3 linked regions of the Nothobranchius furzeri genome follow. Each later gene encodes a partner of the first gene's protein in a complex. Links are inferred from orthologs where the notes say so. Each region holds a gene or a part of one and is shown on either strand. Other genes may lie near its edges.

Evidence for each region. The genes of interacting proteins can lie anywhere in the genome.
Region 2: stx18 (region 1) and bet1l share a complex: the UniProt entries of both Homo sapiens proteins name them as parts of the SNARE complex. The link is inferred for Nothobranchius furzeri from reciprocal best matches to the Homo sapiens genes STX18 and BET1L.
Region 3: stx18 (region 1) and vti1b share a complex: the UniProt entries of both Homo sapiens proteins name them as parts of the SNARE complex. The link is inferred for Nothobranchius furzeri from reciprocal best matches to the Homo sapiens genes STX18 and VTI1B.

The regions. Positions count from the first base shown.
Region 1 is NC_091743.1:54,512,951-54,516,462, forward strand, and holds part of stx18 (syntaxin-18), read left to right. Parts: intron 1-980; coding exon 981-1,048; intron 1,049-2,125; coding exon 2,126-2,241; intron 2,242-2,350; coding exon 2,351-2,428; intron 2,429-2,500; coding exon 2,501-2,567; intron 2,568-2,648; coding exon 2,649-2,749; intron 2,750-3,512. UniProt on the Homo sapiens protein: Syntaxin that may be involved in targeting and fusion of Golgi-derived retrograde transport vesicles with the ER.
Region 2 is NC_091754.1:42,729,383-42,733,593, forward strand, and holds the start of bet1l (BET1-like protein), read right to left. Parts: upstream 2,804-4,211; 5' UTR 2,577-2,803; coding exon 2,558-2,576; intron 268-2,557; coding exon 182-267; coding exon of another isoform or gene 178-181; intron 1-177. UniProt on the Homo sapiens protein: Vesicle SNARE required for targeting and fusion of retrograde transport vesicles with the Golgi complex. Required for the integrity of the Golgi complex.
Region 3 is NC_091758.1:18,878,216-18,882,192, forward strand, and holds the start of vti1b (vesicle transport through interaction with t-SNAREs homolog 1B), read right to left. Parts: upstream 2,804-3,977; 5' UTR 2,672-2,803; coding exon 2,575-2,671; intron 2,477-2,574; coding exon 2,418-2,476; intron 1-2,417. UniProt on the Homo sapiens protein: V-SNARE that mediates vesicle transport pathways through interactions with t-SNAREs on the target membrane. These interactions are proposed to mediate aspects of the specificity of vesicle trafficking and to promote fusion of the lipid bilayers.

The sequences.
Region 1 (3,512 bases):
AGAGATGGCGCTGTCAGTCCTACGTGTGCAGCAGTCCAGACTTTTATTTATTAGAGCTGTTCCGCAAGGAAATTGTTAGTTTGGGTTTTTCATGTCGGGGAGTTTATGCGTCGTCTTAAGTAAATATTGAGAATACAGATAGATGTCAGATTGACCAAATGTGATTACCCGTCAGATCTGGTATGCATTAAAGGACACATTCAGCATGTTTGAGTTTGAATGCAGAAGGAAGGAAATTGTTTACACCGTTAATATAATTTCTTAAACCTGTTTGAAAGAGCGGAACTGTTTTAAAGCAACACCTAATATGTTTCCTGCTTCCCCTTTCTACTGTTTTAAAGAGGTTTACTGTTTACTGTAGCTAGCGCTAACAACGAGCTATTGCTAACACAAGCCATTTAATATTAAAATAAGCCACAAAATAAAAAAAAATCCACACTGTTTGACAAAAAAAAATCATGACTTACAAATCCAGTTGCATCAAAGCCAGGTTACCATCAGTCCATGATTTCATAGCCTCCTTTAGCTCGTTTAGGCTGCACTGATGTTCACTCTGGCTTTAGCTCTTAGCTTTGCCTCCAAAGGCATTACTCCCTTACTTTTACTTCCAGGATCCACCACAATGCCAACATAAAAAAGTTCTTCTTGTTCTTCTTCCTGTGCTATTTTTAACAGTTGGCAAACTAAAGAAGCTAACCTCTAGCCTTCATATGAGCTACCGGCACAGTAAGCAGCTATTGCTGTAAAGCAGATAGAGACCTCCCACCAGTGTATCTATCGAACCACAAAACTGTTAAGTGCAGTTTCTGATCAGGAGAATGCTACCCAGTGTGAACTTGCTCAAGTTTCTGGCTCAAGAATCACTGAAACCAGTTTGAAAGCAACAGCTTAAAGTGTTAAAAGCTCTGTGTTGCTTTAAATTGATGCAGTGATGTGAAAGGAAGAAAATCCAGTCATGCATTTTCTCTCTATCTCAACAGATCACAAACATCACCAAGCTAAAAGACTTTTTGCTGCAACATCGAAAAGATTACGTGAGTGCTGGAACGTAAGTCCCTCCAAAGAGTAAGAGTCATCAACAGTAGCAACAGAGCGCTTCTAAACTGACCATGGGATTATAAAGAAAACAGAGAAGGTCAGAGGTCAAGGTTATTATCAAATGCTCTTTGCGTGAGTTGCATGTGATGGCTGCTGGCACGAGGTCAGCGGCATGTAGGGTGGTCTGTTGAGGCAGGCTCCAGTCTAATTGTCTGGAATAATTGAGCTGCAACCAAGTGTAGAACAAATCACGCCCAGGGACTAATCCTGGCCTTCCTTTGCTCAAGGGGCTCTCTGTGTTTTGTTGGTGTGGCAGTTCAGATCAGCTCCCCCCGCTTCTGTCAGATTTGTGTATAAATCCTCAGTGGAGAACATTAATGAAATATTAGAGATGAAAGTGGTTGATGTGCTGTAGCATGAAGTGTTTGGACAAATCCAGGGATTTAACTTCCAACCATTAGGTGCTCTTTTCTTTCAACTTTCTTCTGTTTTTTTTTAAGTAAAAAGTCTTAAGCCAACATTTTTCATGATGGAAAATAGATTTGAACTAAATGAAATCATACATTAATAAAAAAAATAACCTTGGGTTAAGACTGCAACATAAATGGCCTTCAGCTTTGCATAATAGTGTGGGAGAGGAACTATCACATCGCCCTCTGCTGGATCTTAGGGCACATTACTGTTACCAGTCTGCAAATTTAAAAACATGAATCCTAATTTTTACAACTTCATGTTAAGACAAATATTTCCAAAATCAGCATTATGTTATTTTGCATGTTCAATATTTTAATGTTATTTTATTTAAGGGATGTTTACTTACACTGCTTTCTTTGTTGGGGATTCTTTGTGTGTGTAATCCAGGTTCATTTAAATCTAAACCTGCTTACTGTGTTACTGTCAGCTCACAAGGATGCAATGCTCATCCTAACATAACCGCGATGCAGGATGTTCAGGTGTGTAGAAAACAATTAGAACTGAATTATGTTTAGGGTGAGGCCTTTTCTGAATATTTTGGTCCTTTTTTTTTTTTGCAACCCTGACCCAGGTTAGCAGAGGAGAAGTTTTATGGTTTTTGTGTGTTTCATAGTCTCATCTCATCCGATCATAATCGCATGACGGAAAATGAACGAGACCAGATCGACCAGGATGCTCAGATCTTCATGAGGACCTGCTCGGAAGCCATCAAGCAGCTACGCACTGAAGGTGTGTGTTTATTTCAGATGTAAAAACTAGAAAGTACCAGACTTTCGATTAATGTTTTAAAGCATCTGGACTTCGTTATTAAATAAATATTTTATTTGCATCTTCACAGTGGAGAAACAGGTGACTTCAGCCCAGATGAAGGAGCATAAGGGTGCAGTGCTGGACATCATAGACATGTATCTGAGAGGTGATGTCATGTTATGTAAAAGTTCACATTTGTTTCATGCTTCGTCACTAAACCAGTGACCTGTGATTTCAGACGTTTGTAATCTGTACTCGGAGCAGAGAGCCATTAGAGTCAAGAGAATGGTGGACAAGAAGAGACTGTGAGTATCTTCTGGCCTCACCTTCAACTTGTTGAGAGACTCTTCATATGATTTCTGTTACTTTTTTTCTTTTTGTTTCAGATCAAAACTGGTGCCAGAGCACCCAGTAAGGGTGGAGAAAACTCAGAAAACAATAGAAGTAGAGCCCACAGAGGAGAAAACTGTAAAGGAGGAAAGTTCTGGTGAGTCATGGTGTGTTTGCCCTCAGAAAACTGGACTTTATTCCTCTTAAAGCTCCAGGAAAAGTGAACCTGCCGTCATATGGTGGCAGTGTCTATACTGTGAAATATTATTAGCTGGTTTTAGCTACATTTTTACATTTTACAAAAAAGAAATGTCCCAAATTGCTCCCAAGATGGTGCCCAAAGGGACACCAACACTACCCTCCTCACCGCAACACTAGGTGAAAACAAAAAGGTCCCTCCCTAAAGGGGAAGGGCCTCTGAGCCTGCCTGCAGGGGTCATCTCCGGATCCATCGTCTCCTCTTCTCATGTTTGGCTGGATCAGGCTCGTAGGCTCCGAGAGGCCATCCAGCAGTGGATCCTCCGGCGGGGGCAGGGCCTCCAGAAGCACCCGCCGGACATCCACAGCCATCTGTTGTCTTAAAACCTTAAAACAAATAAAACACCATTAAAATACCACCATCTTTAATTTGCATTTATTTTTGTAAAATAAAGCCCAATTAAAAATGTTGGTGAAACAATGACTAATAAGAATAAGAGATATTAAAAAAATACATAATAAACTTTTGTTTTCATGCATAACAAAATTTTGTTTACCTTTTCTTTTTTGCAATCACAAATATATTTGATTCTTGAACTTTACTCAGCTCACCATTAGTTGTTAGTTTTGTTTTCACAGTTTCACCAAGATTCACACTCACACTTTACTAATATTTGAGATACAGGGAAGAAATCAGATCACACACAAAAATACCTGGCCAA
Region 2 (4,211 bases), on another chromosome or scaffold:
AAAACCGTGATAATTTTGGTCACAATAACCGTGAGGTTAAATTTTCACACCGTGACAACCCTACTTCTGAACAAGTTTCAGTTGCTTCACAGCTTTTTTGGGAAGACCAAGACTTGCTGCTGAGAAAAAAGTGAGTTTGACAAACACCTAGAAAAGCTATCAACTCATCGGACTCACATACAGATTTGAGTCTGGAGACTTTGGTGGCCAGATTCTCAGCCATCCGTTTGTTTTCAGCATCCAGCATGTCGTCAACTGAGCCGTGACCTGAACAAGCACAGAAATACAACCTGTCACATTTCTGTGATGGTTTCAAACATCTGCTTTATCACACTAACTAAACGTCTCGTCTGTAATAGATTTAAAACAATGTTAATACACAGATCTCAATAGTGTTAATTCCATTCGTTCGTAAGGAATACTTTTTCCACACAAAAACTAAATGAGAATTGAAATAAAAGGTTGGATTAAAGACTCAAAGGATCAACATGAAACAATGAAAATCCAATGAGAGGACAGGGAAGATACGAAGAACGAACAAAAGAACCAGTCAGCAAATGGAACAGGCAGAACTAGAAAAGAACCAGTCGAAGTCCGAAGCTTGGTGCTGTTTGAACAAGATCCTGTTAAAGTGACAGTGTGTAGTTTTCACCTTTAATCTCTGGAAATATCCACCGAACTGTTGTCGTAAAAGAATTAAAACAGTTGTTGAAAAAATATTGGCAGTTTAAAAACAAGTTACCATAAAGATCTGTTGTAAAATACATTGGAAAGGGACAGAGGGTGTTTCTCAATGCCAAGGAACCTCGCCTTGATGTCTTGACCCTGCCCCGGTTGCCTAGGAGATACGTCATCAGGAGCTGCCAAGACGCGTTCCAATGTTCATGTTCTACCAAGGCGTGTGTTCTCCGTTAGTTAGCTGTTTAGCTAGCTGAGCAAGGATACACAGAAGGTGTCTTTTAGCCTAGCCTTGGCAAAACTTTCCCAGAATACACCGCAGTATTTTCAAAAGCATGGCGGATCAAAAACCGGCAGCTACTTCGGGGGCAAATTTCAAGTTTAAAAGTAAGAGAACTAATTTAAAATGTTTCTTTTTTAGATCCAACGAAGTTATCTATTGTTGGTTGGCTGCTTATTAGTTGCAGCTTCGGTGGCTAGCGGGTAGTAACTTGCTTATATTTTTAATTTAATAAACATACACAATTTTAAAAGTAAACACCTCGTTATATATTTATATTGAAACTAATACGTATAAAATATATCGTTATGTCCCGTTTCATGTGATGTTACATGGCTGTCGTGGAAGCTGCGGTCACGTGATGCAAGTCTGTTCCATTTAAACGTTTTCTTTGACCAAGGAAGAACAGTGTCCTCGTAAGTAAGGCACCTGGCCTAGCAAGACATCGCCTCGCAAAGCCAGGTGCCTTCACATTGAGAAACACCCTGTCACCGAGCGATGCCATATTGGATGCCATGTTTCCTTCTACGGAAGTCTGAGGACAAAATGCATTTACTGATATGTGACAAGTGGTTATAAACTTTGAGCATTAATACACATTGTTGCTTTACACATTTACCTCTTCACTCGTTTAGTGATGAAAGGGAATCTGGTGTTATTTTGATGGAGGTTGCACTCCCAGGGATTTTTGACCCTAAGTGCCATCAGTTGGTAAGGTCTTATTTGAACACAAAAATAATGCTTGCTTGCTGTGATTCGGGTATCTACTGCCCCCTATCGCCAGGAAAACTACACATGGTCACTTTAGGCAACAGCTGAACAATTTATGTCAAAAAAGGAGAGAATGTCCACGGCTGGGAGGAAAAGCATTAAAAGTGATGATCTGGAAAAAAAGACTTCTGGACAGAAAAAAAGCAAGGACACCAACTTTTACTTTGAAAGTGTTATCAGTTAAAACTGAACTGAGATCAGAGTCAGCAACAGGATCAGAACATAATCAGGTGGGAAACAGATTAGAGTGAAACATGCATTTCTTCAAGACGTGACTGATAAAGGTGTTCTGTTTTATTTTTCTGTCTCTGTGGTGCTGTGTGACCTGTACTTACATGTGTGTACTGCTCCGTAGTAAAAGTAACATTTAAAACCTTTTTTATACTAGTGGTGCGTTCAGGAAAGGTTTACTTAAAGGAAACCCCGGTTATGTTCCATAAAGACCATCTTATGTCAGCCAAATTATCCAAACAAAACTAAATATGAAAAGTAAGCCTCAAATCCTGTTTTACTGTTGTTGTCTGCCCTTTCACCATTTAAATGAAAGTCAACCACGAGCTAAACCTCCGATTGTCTTTTCTTTATTCATAATCTGAGAAACGTCCCGTTTTTATCGCTTTATCTGCTTTGCTCAGCGAAGAAGGTGTTGTTAAACAGCTAGTGCTAGCCTCATGCTAGCCCAGCTGGGGGTTCGGGCTCTGAACCGTTGGTTCTGATGTCTGCTGACGTCACAGTCCCCCTCGCACCGCTATAAAATGGCATTTCAACCATCAACATCACAAATAAACTATAAGATAAAAGTGAATACGTGTCCAAATTCAAACCCACCTCTGTTCCAGTCCGCCATGTTGGTGAGCTACGTCACGATCAGGTGCTCAGCCACGTGATCACCGCCAACAGTCTAAGGACAGCTGTGGTAGGTTGTCGTATCATTTAATCAAAACAACCATCTATTGTCTTCTAGAATTTTTTTAATTAGCCAGATTTTCTATTTATTGTTCAGAACTAAAGTTGAAAACATTTAAAAATCATACTTCTATAACAACTAAATGATAAATGCCAAATGAGCAAAGAACACGTTTCTTAAATCAGTCCCTCCCTGACTATACAGATGATTGCAATATTTTGTGATAATTTCAGGTTTAATATAAGTTTAAAGTGACAGTGTGCATTTTCCCTGGCGACAGGGGGCAGAAGATACCTAAAGCAATGCAAGCAAGCAGTATATGTGGCCGTGTTCCAGATAAGCCAGTTCTGTGCAGATTAGATCAGCGGTGATCGGCGAGCTGTGCATGGCGGTTAGATTTGTGTCCAACTTGACGCCGACTTGGTCTGACGTCATGCATACGTAGGCAACGATAACCTCGTGAGATCAAAGTGGCCGCAGATTTTGGAGCAAGGTGCTGCAGTTACTCTCCCTCGGCTGCAAAACCTTGGGGTTGACGGGAAACGCCTGTCTCTCACCTGATCTAAGATCTGATTGGTTCATATTTTGATCCGAACATCCGGTGGTAGAACATAAAATGTTAGTTGGTCACATGTATTCTGTGAATCATGTTATGCTGATGATGACAACAATATAGGCCATAAAGAGAAATGTGTTTTGTGTTCTTTTGTCACGTTTCCTATGAGCACACTAAATCTACAGCTGATAACCTTTACTTATTGTTACAGTCATGTCTTCATATACAATATATGATATCCAGAAGCACGTGAGGATGTGTTTCAGCTGCTAACAGGCACCAGAATTAAAACTGAAAATTAAACAAGTATGAACGCTAACGCGATGTGTTCATCCGGTCGTCACCCATGAGCTACACATGTAGGGAAATTGAGGTTTCCGTTCAGCCCACAGCACAGAAACTGCCCTGATCCGTGTTATGAATGATTTACTTCTAACTGCGGATCAGGGCTCACCATCTCTCCTCCTCCTACTGGATCTGTCAGCGGCGTTTGACACTGTGGACCATACCATCTTACTAAATCAACTCCAGACTGTGGTTGGCCTTTCGGCAACCACACTACATTGGTTGCAGGAGTACCTTACGGGCAGAACGGAATTTGTAGCTTCAGGACAATGTCAGTCATCCCCCTACACTGTAAATTGTGGAGTACCACAGGGGTCAGTTCTTGGGCCAAACCTTTTCTCCATCTACATGCTTCCACTTGGACAAATTTTCCATAAATACAAAATATCGTTTCACTGTTATGCAGACGACACTCAGTTATACATGAAAATGGACTCCACTATACCTAAAACTCTTCCATCTGTACTTCAGGTCTGCCTGGAGGAGATGAGCATAACAGCATGGATGATCGCAAATTTTCTTCAACTAAACAGTAATAAAACTAAACAGTAATAAAACGGAATCTATCATTATCGGCACTCCACATCAAACACATCAAACACAGTCTCTCTCCCTTAGCAGTAATTCCATTTTCGGTCATGACATTCCCCTTTCCTCTACTGTAACAAATCTTG
Region 3 (3,977 bases), on another chromosome or scaffold:
TGATTGCTTCACAGCCGGACAGGACACCGTAAAAAAATAAATAAAAAGACAACAGCAGCTCCAACAATCACTCGTTCCTCCCAAGGTCTGCAGAACAGCATCTCTGAACCACAACATGATGATGCCTGAAGCAGATCCAGCAGCAGAAAACCACATCAATGTGTCTCTCCTGTCAGCTAAGAAAAGGATACTGAGGCTTCAATTCATCTGGTGTCACCAACATGAAAGCATGGGTCCATTCTGTCTTGCATCAATGCTTTAAGCTGCTGCTGGTGGCATTCTTGTCCCACTTTGGACCCCTTAGTACCAGCTGAGCCTAGTTTAAGTACCACAACCTTGTTGCTGACCATACATGTCTATCACTTTATGACCACATGGACCCATTTTTTGATACTACTTCAAGCACGATCATGCACCATGTCACAAAGCTCAGAGCATCTCTAACTGGTTTCTAGAACATGACGATGAGTTCACTGGACAAAAACGGCCTCCACGGTCACCAGATCTCAGTCCAGAACTTATGGAATGTGGTGGAGTAGGAGGTTTTCCTTATGAACAGAGCTGTGTGATGTTATGTTAATATGGACCAGAACTTCTAAGGAAAGTTTCCAACATCTTGTTGGATCAATGACATGAAGAGAGAAGGTAGTTCTGATCTAACCCTGCAGATACAAGGTGTACCGAATAAAGTTGGCAGTGTGAGGCACGTATTTAAGCATCTTCCTCTGTGTTTTTAACACTGAAGTTTAATAGACTTTTGATTTAATGATTACTGCACTACCTCTCTGCTTAAAGTGTAAAGCTGCGTTTTTACCAGGCCCCCACAATGTGGCTTTAAATTTGAGGCCAACCCGGAAGTAAGAGAAATTGCAGTTCCACCCTCATCCGCTGGGGGCTGGTGTCAGAAACGAGCAAATCCTCATTGACTCCCATGTTAAAAATGCCAATTTCACAGCAGAAATAAACATGTTTACAGCCTGGTACCAAAACATGTTTTTTGTTTAAATGATCTAGTTTATACTCATGACAACTCTGAGGGGGGTGAATTTTTTTTCTCACTCTTCTGTTTAAGTGTATTAAAAGCCTAAAATTCTGTATAATTAATGAGCATCCGACACACGTGACCACAGAGCTAGCTCCGTGGAAAGGCCTCAGTAGAGCCTCAGTCTGGCTTGGAAACTGTTCCGGGATTTTGAGTCTCTGTGTTTGTGTATTCTTTTTTGGATATTTTTTGTGCAATTGTTGGACAAAATGACTTGCTGTGGCATTAATTGCACTAATAGAGCGTCCAAGGAGTCTCCACTTCATTTTTTTCGGTAAGTAAAATTATATTTATGTATTTTAGGTCACTGCCAAGCTGAGCTTAGATTTTAACATGTACTGTTTAACCATGAAATTTAAATGTAATAGGGTAAAACCCAGTGCATTTAACACAATGCTGCACTTTAGAAAATGGGTTGAAATATAACATGTTGGTGGAGCTGGGTTCCGACTATCGGCTTGTGGAGCTCTCGGGAGACCGATGTTTTCCACCCAGAATGCCGGCTGTTTCTCCCCGCAGCCTGGTCCATCTCTGTCTGATCGCGGCTCCTGTTAGCTGCGCGGGCTAACGGCTGGTTCTCCCAGCAGCTCGGCGCATCGCTGTCTGATCGCGGCTTCTGTGTGCTGCGGCGGGCTGACGGCTGGTTCTTATGGCAAGCCAGAACCGCCAAAATACGCCACTTCTCCCCGCAGCTCGGCGCATCTGTCTGATCGCAGCTTCTGTTTGCTGCAGCGAGCTGACGGCTGGTTCTCCCAGCAGCTCGACGCATCTGTCTGATCGCGGCTTCTGTGTACTGTGCGGCTGCCGGCTTGTGGAGGTCTCCGAGACCTCTGGGTTCCACCGTATTTTACCCAGCGGTCAGCCCGGCGTACCTCTGACTCAGAAGCTCTGGTGTTGTGCACAGTTAACTCCAGTTGTAGCTAGGTTGCTACCTCCGATAGCTTAGCTCCCACATCCGCATTAGCTTTGGGTTAGCTTCAGGTTAGCTTGTAGATAGCTCGACCGGGTGTTGTCAGTTGATCCCAGCCTTACAGCCCCACCCTCAGCTCCTCCTCTCTTCCCTTTTGTGGAATTGTCTGGGCTTGACGGAACCTGTGACACGGTCAAAATGGCGGTGGTGGCCACCTCCCATTTAGCCTCAAAAACGTGTTATTGGAGTCTATGGAAACCCATTGTCCATATATTAATGTCGATGGTTTTTACACACAAGATGCATTCAGCTACATTAGCTTTAGCATCACAGCCAGTCATTGTACTTATGTTGATGTTTTGCGGTAATAATTACAGCAAACTCTTGGCCTTATTTATAACACTCACTGTTAATAAATAACAAACAGAAACAAGTGAAGATGTTGACGTAAACAAACGTTTTTACCACTTCATCAGCTTCCCCCTGTCTCTCATCGAAGGTCCTCACCAGTCTCTTCCTCTCCTCTGCATTAGGAACAGAACAAGTTCGAGGTTTAAACCAAGAAGGTTTTGTTATTTGACACTTAAACGAGGTTAAATGAGGGAACAACGGGTTTATTTACCTCCGGTACAGCTGAGAGCCTTCTCTGGGATTAGCTTTAGCTCGTCATACAAGGATCTGTAGATTTCGTGTAACTTCTCAAATTCTTCCGACGACATTTTCCGTCAATGTAATCTCGCTGTCTGTCATAAAAAGGCCACCTGTACCTTTTTCTTTAAAGGACGGAACGAACTACACAAGTGGATCAACTGCTTGTGCTTCGATGAGACTCTTCCGCTGCCGCATGACGACTCTCGTGACCAAGTGCCTAAACTTTACAACATTGCTACAAATTTGAAGTATTCACATGCTAAACGTTCGGTGAAATTTATTTCAATACTGAAGATGAATGTGACAATACCATCAATATGCTTAACACTATTTAAATGTCTTACAAGTTATTTTAACGTATTTTATTCAGGCACGAAGGTAGACAGCTTTAAACGGTCTCTGGGAACTGTAGTTTTTCCGCTAATTCTTCTAAAAAAGATTTGAAACATTTGTTAAAAGACAACTGAAACATCATAAAATAAGATAAACTATTACTAGTCACTACAATATTAAATAAAAATGAACGAAGTTTATATTAGTGTGCATTTACTTTGTCTGTTTACATTATTTTCTAGCCAGGCTATTTCCTAAAACAATAATGGGCCTAAATTATAGATACATTATAATAATAATCAATTTTGTACAGAATTATTGTTTTATAAATTATTTACTATTTAGATACAAGGCTACCTATAAAGAATAGCAAGATACCTGGATGATGTCCCGATTGAAACACCTTTGGTTGACGTGGTTCTGACTGCCATATGCGTCGCTCAAAAAACTATCCTCATGAATTGGAAAAATAGAGATACTCTTTGCATTAACCAGTATATAAATCTTTTGTTGGATCATATTACACTTGAGACAGCCTCTTCTTCCACTTCAAATCAATCTATATGGGCTCCTTTGATCGGTTCCATCACATAGAGGTGATTGTGTGTGTGTGTGTGTGTGTGGGGGGGGGGGGGGGGTTGTCATTGATACTGTCCTGCGGGATGATGTGGGTGATGGGGTGGAGGGTCTGCGCTTGCAGTATCCGGACGTTCCTTGGAGGTGGATTCACTGGGGGTGTCTGGGGCTGGGGGGCTGCTGTCCCACTCTGGAGGCGCTTGGGTTGCCTCGAGGGGTGGATTACTGGCGGTTGTGAGTGGAGCCCCTTGGGGGGTCTTGACGGTGGCGATGGGTTGCTGCCTGGTGGCTGCATCACCCCTGAGTGGGTCTGGGTGGGGGCCTGGGGGCTAAGGGTGTGGGGGTAGCTGGCCCCCATGTGGGGATCTGGGCGGGGCCTTGGGGATTGGCTCCTAACTTGTATGCTGCTGGGAAGAAGGCGGGAACACACGGCGGTGCCTGGCCCAGGCTCAGGGGCCTCAGGTG